2 linked regions of the Xenopus tropicalis genome follow. The protein of the gene in region 1 interacts with the protein of each later gene in a biochemical or structural test. Links are inferred from orthologs where the notes say so. Each region holds a gene or a part of one and is shown on either strand. Other genes may lie near its edges.

Region 1 (3,827 bases):
GCAGTGTGCCACTGGCTTAGGAAAGCCCACTGATAATAGATATGTATATTAGCAGGGGCTCACTAAACATTTAATTATAGTTCAGTTGCAAGAGTCTGTAGGCCAACATTTTCAGAATTACATGGCCGGGGCCAGAAACAGGGACAGACAGAAAAGGCACGTGACTATGGAGCAACTGTGTGTGTATGTGGGGGGGTTACTGGGTACATACCTCTTCTGCCTGCCCACCTCTACTTCCAGCCCTTCTGTAACTCTGAAAAAGTTCAGCGGGTCATTAGTAGAGTATGGCATGGGGAAAGGGGGGGAGAGATGACGTACAAAGGATGCTGTATTGGTGGGCACTTGGGGGCAGATGACTGCATTTGATTTGCCTTGGGTGCCATTTCCTGTTGGCCTGGCACTGTATATGCCTTTGAGAAAAGAAAATAACCCGTTTTCTGTATTTTGTTATAATCTTTACCTTAGAGCGACACAGGTAAAAAAAATTATTTAATTTGCAATATTTTGTGGTGTGTGGCTTTGTAGTGTGTTGCAGGTGGGCAGGATTGTCACTTTGTAATGTAAAAAATATATGCCACATATAAACCTCTTACCATTTTCTGCTGACTGTCCGGATTCACTTTCTTCTGGATGAAAAACATGAAAAAAAAAAATATTTATAGTTATGTCGGGTCATGTTCTGTAACCTTCAGCCTAATGACACCTAAATTTCTTTGTGACAGGAGTATGATTATTCTATGAGAAAGCAGCAATATACAAAGGAATCCGTAATTCCCATATGACAGTAGACTTTATTGTAAGTGCTAATGCTTAGGGCAGCACCGGACCTTAGCCTGACCCCTTATCTCAGCAATCACCCATGCACAGCTGGCCCTGCTGTATTGCACATGCACGGATCACAGAAGTTTGTTTTGATTGTTTTTCATTTCCATTGCTTTTCCAAGTTTTTTTTTGTGTTTTAATTTGATTTTACCCTATAGGCAACCAAGCGCCTACATCCTAGACAAAGGCCCATAAAAGTCTACATGGTAAATAGGGCAAGGGAGGGGTAAAATTCCTGACTCAAAATGGCATTTGGTCCAAATTCTGAAAGAATGTTGCAAATAACTAGACTGATGCAGAGTATGGGATAATCAAGACTGGGACTGCTTATCACTGGCAAAGAATATGATTCATGCTATACAAATGAGTAAAAAAAAGAAAAAGCCTTGAGCAGCAGCACCAGAAACCAGTACAGCCCTGATGTCCTCAATTTATGCTGCAATAGTCTGCATTTTCTTGAAACTCGATCCCCGGAAGCCAATCAGAAACGTTTTACTCAATCATTTATACAGCTCAATAATTTACCAAATTAACATAATGTCAGACAAGTATGTATACACTGATTAAAGAAATTTAAAAAAAAAAAAAAAAATTATTATTTTTGATAAATTCTTCATACTTACGGTTGTTAAGAACCAGCCCTGGAAAAGGCCTGTTATAAAAAAGGAGTATAAAGTAGCATTAAATACATCATTGCAAGGCTTTTACACTAGAAGCCTACTAAAATCCACTATTTCGCTATTTATAAAGCACTACTAGGATACACACTGCTGTAAGAGAGGACAAGCATTATAGTAAGTAAGAAATCTGTATAACCATACAGAAGTGACATATAAGGTCATTAATGACCCTAAGAGGACGCAAGTGCAAGGACATAAACAGACGCAAGAGCATGAATAACGTGCAAGGCATGGGACAGATAGGGGATTGGAGGGTAATGCAAGCAACAGCACCCTGTTTGTGCCCTTTTTATACACTTTGACCACTGCGTGAGGAATGGGAAGTAGGTTCCTGCCACACAGAACTTATAAGTACTTACACTTAGGGGTCCATTTACTAAACAATTTTAAGATAATTTCGTATTTTTTCTAACTTTCTTTTTTTTTTAACTAATAAAAGATTTTGGAATGTATGCGAAAAGGGTGCAAAGGGTGAGTGACAAAACAGTGTGCAGTCACCCTTATGAGAATATGCAATAACAGTGGGCTTAATAACAAGATCTCTGTGGGTTTTAAAATCTATAAAAAAATCTATAATTACGTTTCAGTTAAATAACACTTACCTTATAACTGTAAACTTAATAAATTCAGCTGAATCCAGAATCCTACGCATAGAACTCATTTCAAGGTAACTGGGGGCTTTGAATGAAACTCCAGGAGGCATTCCATCAACTACCACACATCCTGGGTTAGTTGTAATTTTCCTGTAAGGGACTTTTACTGGAAAGTTCATGCCAATGGCTTCTCCTATAAAAATATAAAAAAAATATAATAATAAAGCCTTAATACCTTCTAAAAAAAATTCCAAACTGTAGATTTTTAGTTTAACTACAAAGATAATACATACAATATTAATCATCCTATACAGATGATGAGTATACACAGATTTGGGGCACCATCATTAATGGTGAAAAACACTTTTCCCTGGTCGTACTCCATATCAGCACTATCTGGGATATCCCCGCCCCCATGCCCCATCAGAAGGATCCTCCCCAAAGCTTTAAAAGCCACCCCCACCCCCTCTATGGCGTCTTTTTTTCCTTCTGCTTTCCTTGCTCCATTGGAAGCAACATTTTTGCTTTTTAGCCTTGGGAAAGCATTAGGTGACCGGAAATGGCACCTAGGGACTGGGGTTTTTTGGTCCATGAGATCTTTTCCCCTGCACATTACCTCATATCCTGGGATCTTCGGCTCTGTTCTGCTTGATAAGGTAGGACAATGCTGTTTGGTATATTTGATCCCATGTGCCTTTCTGGTTTGTCATAATGGCATCCAATGGCAAGTGCTAGTCCCCCCATCCGTATGCCCTCCCAGGCCGTGAGTGTCTGGTGGCAATGGTGTGTGGCCCGACACACTTAATATTTTTGCGGATGGGCGAGGGAGGTGGAAGTTAGCAGTACTCAACATTTAGTTAGTGGCCTGAGTCTGGCGATCTCCATATTCCTTTTTGTTCTACTGTGTGGAGAGAGTTTTTTTTTGAATAGAGCCAGAGTTCAAAGCCTACTGCCTCCCTCACAAAGTCTTTCCTAAGGTTTTGTATTAAGAGGTGTTTTAAAAAAAAAAAAAAAAAAAAAAGGGCCTGACACCCCACTGTCTTTAAACATTGGGCTGCATTATGTACTACAAATGGGTTAGTTTGCCTGCTAGTTGCTACATACCTGGATAGCTTTAGCTGAATGTAACCAGTCAAATATTATGGTTACTTGCAGACAGATTGGGTGATTCATTGAACCTTTCAGTTGCTCTGGATTGTGTTACAGTTGCTAGGGCAGAGCCATGTAGTAACCTTGGGAACTGCCTAATGAAATGCATTCCTGAGTAGCCTCAGGTGAATGTGATTATGTGCTAGCTACACTCTACCTGAGCTTTCCAGAGATTGCAGCAGTCCTGTGTTATGGCTACTTGCTGATACATGGGGTAATGTGTCAACTCCTTTCAGCTGCCCGCATTGTGTTATGGTTGCTAGGGCACTGTAGTGTAGTTACTATTAAGAACTGGCTAATTAGATGCATTCCTGAGTAGCCTCAGGTGAATGTGATTACGTGATCAGCTACACTCCAGCTGAGCTTCCCAGAGAGTTGCACCAGTTCTGTGTTATGGCTACTGCTGCTACACCAGGTAATGCACTAATATTTCACTTACTGTGGAAGGTGTTTATAGTAGTCGGGGCATTATAGAGTTGAAGTACCTCTGAGATCTGTATCTGCATTAGCTGTGTATAATTAAGTGTATGCACATGGATCCAGTACTTTGCCATCACGATTGTAGCCAGATTGTATTGCTGTA
Region 2 (3,827 bases), on another chromosome or scaffold:
CTTTTGAAAAACTACTGTTCTGAAAATTACCGTTTCCCTGAAAACTGGAGGCTACATCACTCTAGGGCCAACACATACTTGAATAAATCCCACTGCAAAGTCCATATTGTATTGCCAAAAGCTCATTAACTGTACTTTTCTATAATTACCGCCTGCCCCAAGTAGGTGTTATTTTTCGTATGGACTAATGCGATATTTAGCGTATCTAAGTGTTTGTGAATCATGCGTTAGTATTATTTCTGTGTGAGAATTAACGCAATGCGGTAAAATGAAGGCATGCGGTAGCGCGAAATGTAACGCATGCGATAATACTTTAACGAATCATGCTTTTTTTGCGTCAATTTTAATGACGCAAAAAAGTGAATCAACCCTATGGTGTAAGGATGGGCAATATTTGGGGGACCATTTACTAATAGTGATGTGCGAATCTGTCCTGTTTTGCAATTCACATAAAAAAAGTTGCGTCGCTTGTGTTATATTTAGTCATTGTATTGTGTAGTCATTGCCCTGAGAAATGTACAATTTTTTTCTTAATTGTCTGATTAACCATTTCTATATGTAACAGCAATGAACCTTTGTTGTATTGTGATAAGAAATGTGTGTACATCTCTCTTAGGCTGGAAGGATACATACCTGGTAATTATGTTACAGAAGCTCAAGATCCACTGGAAATATATGAGTGAGTACAGTATGGGGTATGGTATGGTGTTTTATGCATATACAGAGTTCCTCTAAAGCTGTGCTGTCCAACTGGCGTCCCGCATGCCACAGCCCCCCTCTGTGTGGTCCCCCACCTGTCTGGCTGCTCTGACTGCTTACCTTTGTGTAAGCTTTAAATGGTGTCAGTAGTGAGATTTACTGGCCCCCTGCATGGTCACACCTCAGGTTCAGGATGTAAACTCGCTGTATTGTTTAAACATGTAATCCCCTGTACTCTTAACACCTTTTAATCCCTACATTATTCACCCCCTGCATTGTTCACACCTCAGGCCCAGACTGTTATCACCCACATTGTTCACCTGTTCACACCTCAGACTGTAGAAGCAGTGCCAGCATTGTGTCACTGTATGTACTGCCTTGCCCTATGCTGCCTGTGTGTATGCCATACACAGGCAGCATATGCCAGGCAGTATGGCACACACAGGCAGCATAGGGCAGTCAGAGTATGGCATACACAGGCAGCATATGGCAGGCAGTATGGCACACACAGGCAGTATAGGGTAGGCAGAGTATGGCACACATAGGGAGCATAGGGCAGGCAGAGTATGGCACACACAGGCAGCATAGGGCAGGCAGAGTATGGCACACACAGGCAGCATAGGGCAGGCAGAGTATGGCACACACAGGCAGCATAGGGCAGGCAGAGTATGAAACACACAGGCACATAGGGCAGGCATAGTATATCACACACAGGCAGCATAGTCCAGGCAGAGTATGGCACACACACAGGCAGCATAAGATAGGCAGAGTATGGCACACACAGGCAGCATAGGGAAGGCAGAATATGGCACACACAGGCAGCATTGGGCAGGCAGAGTATGGCACACATAGGCAGGGTAGGGCAGGAAGAGTATGGCACACATGCAGGGTAGGGCAGGCAGAGTATGGCACACACAGGCAGTACTCTGCCTGCCTTACCCTGCCTGTATGTGCCATACTCTGCCTGCCCTATGCTGCCTGTATGTGCCATACTCTGTCTTCCCTATGCTGCCTGTGTATGCCATACTCTGCTTGTCTTATGCTGCCTGTTGGAGGTGAACCTGGCAGGGGTTTGTATGTTAGCATTTGGAAATAGTTATTATATGGTCCCTAAGGTGTGTAATTATGTGCTGGGGGTTGCTGTGCTATCCACAGGGGAGAAGGAGATTTATGGATTTATGGGTGTCTCTAAATATGACATGATATAATTCTTTCACTTATTAATGAAGGGTGATATCCCTGCAGTGAGCACCAAGCATTTGGGTTTTGCTGCACTACCACCATTAATGTGGGTATGGTTTTAAAAGCTCTTTTGGTAACATGGGTGTGGTTTGAAGTGGGTGTGGTTTAAAAGGGGAGTGGTCAAAATTGGCTTCCATTATCTGCCCTCCGCAATGTAGGTCAGAAAAATTACGTCCCTCAGTACCACAGTAGTTGGACAGCGCTGCTCTAAAGGATAATGGCTCAAATATCCTGTCATATCACTTCTCATTGTTGTCAGAGGTCAATGATCTGTAGCATTATGCTATTTACTAACCCAGGAACAATAGAAGAGTTTTTTTTTAAAGTGAATATACATCTGTATACTTCTGTATTTCTTCTGTGTTTTTCCTGATAATGTACTTTCTATGTTTTTGCAATAAAAAAGACTTTAAAAACAAACTTGTGCCATACTTCTCTTTTCTCCCTCTAGGTGGTACTCCAAAAACATGACAAGAAGTCAGGCTGAAAAACTGCTACGAGCAGAGGTGAATAAAGTGGGCAGTAAGGGGATCTGTGGGGAAAAGTACAGAACAATAAGAGGTTACAAAGAAGGCAATATTGGTGTAGCTAAGTTATAGTAACTAAAGGGAAAGATTAGTAATAGGAGAAGCATTTGGTGGGGGTGTGAGGGATATATGATCAGGATTTTTAGAGAAAGAGGTGGAATTAGAAGAAAGTTGACGTGATCAAATACCACTGTATGTCAGGTCTGTCTTTCACCACATTTGCAGTTAAAAGTGGCAATGTACAGTATAATCCCTAGCATAGCCAAATTCTGTACAACGTAAAGGGGACTCTGCAGACATATTTGCTTCATTTTTTTCTGTTTAATTTTAAAAAGGATGTTTTGCATTCCCCTTTACTACAATTGCTGCATTGCAGCCCTGTGTAAGTGCCTAAATACCTTTGCGCTAGCTGGAGCCCGGTACACTTATTACATTTTCCTCCCTCCTGGGCATGCTGAACTATGGTAAATATTGGTTTTCAGGACCCCAACAATGACTAAAGGTGGCCATACACGTCAAGATCCGCTCGCTTGGCGGGGTCGCCAAGTGAGCGTATCTTCTCCCGATATCGCCCACCCGTAGGTGGGGATATCGGGAGAAGATCCGCTTGCTTGGCGACCCCGCCAAGCGAGCGGATCTTGACGTGTATGGCCACCTTTATTTAGGCTAATTCGGTCGTTTGGCCCTGGGGCCAAAAGATCGAATTATAACGACAGTAATGGGTGCAGTCAGTTCAGGGACCACATCAACGAGCCGATGCGGTCCTCAATCCGACTGAATTTTTTAACCTGCCAATCGATATCTGGACGATTTCAGGCCAGATGTGGATGGGCAGGCCCGCCGTTGCTGCCCCTACACGGGCCGGTAAGCTGCCGAATCGGTCCAAGGGACTGAAATCGGCAGCTAGAATCGGCTTGTATATGGCCACCTTAAGTCTTTTACAGTTGTACATTATTTTGACTCAGCAGCAGCAGACTCAGCCTTCAGCAGTGAGTGTGAAATTTATTTATAGCCCAACAACACAATTTTTTAAGCCTATGCATTTTTCAAAATATTAATAAAATGTATAGTTTTAGCTGCAGTAGGCTCTACGCCTCCTATGTGGTATAAGGTTTCCTGTTAAAGGGCTTCCTCATGGACTCCTGTGTTTCAGGATAAAGAAGGTGGCTTTATCGTGAGAGATTCCAGCAAGGCCGGAAAGTACACTGTATCCGTATATGCAAAATCATCTGGGTGAGAGATGTTTAAGGTTTCACACACAGACATTTATATGAATATAGCTCTTTCACACAGTGTATGCTATTGTGCTATATAATGTCTCCCCCTTACAATTGCAGGGAAGGTATTATACGCCATTAT

Evidence for each region.
Region 2: the proteins of gtf2i (region 1) and btk form a complex in vitro, tested with the Homo sapiens proteins (4 studies listed by BioGRID and IntAct, with this or other methods). The link is inferred for Xenopus tropicalis from reciprocal best matches to the Homo sapiens genes GTF2I and BTK.

What each region holds. Positions count from the first base shown.
Region 1 is NC_030678.2:100,524,696-100,528,522, forward strand, and holds part of gtf2i (general transcription factor II-I), read right to left. Parts: intron 2,997-3,827; exon of another isoform or gene 2,574-2,996; intron 2,289-2,573; coding exon 2,105-2,288; intron 1,475-2,104; coding exon 1,446-1,474; intron 627-1,445; coding exon 594-626; intron 1-593. UniProt on the Homo sapiens protein: Interacts with the basal transcription machinery by coordinating the formation of a multiprotein complex at the C-FOS promoter, and linking specific signal responsive activator complexes.
Region 2 is NC_030684.2:37,667,969-37,671,795, forward strand, and holds part of btk (tyrosine-protein kinase BTK), read left to right. Parts: intron 1-616; coding exon 617-679; intron 680-2,392; coding exon 2,393-2,447; intron 2,448-3,621; coding exon 3,622-3,701; intron 3,702-3,805; coding exon 3,806-3,827. UniProt on the Homo sapiens protein: Non-receptor tyrosine kinase indispensable for B lymphocyte development, differentiation and signaling. Binding of antigen to the B-cell antigen receptor (BCR) triggers signaling that ultimately leads to B-cell activation.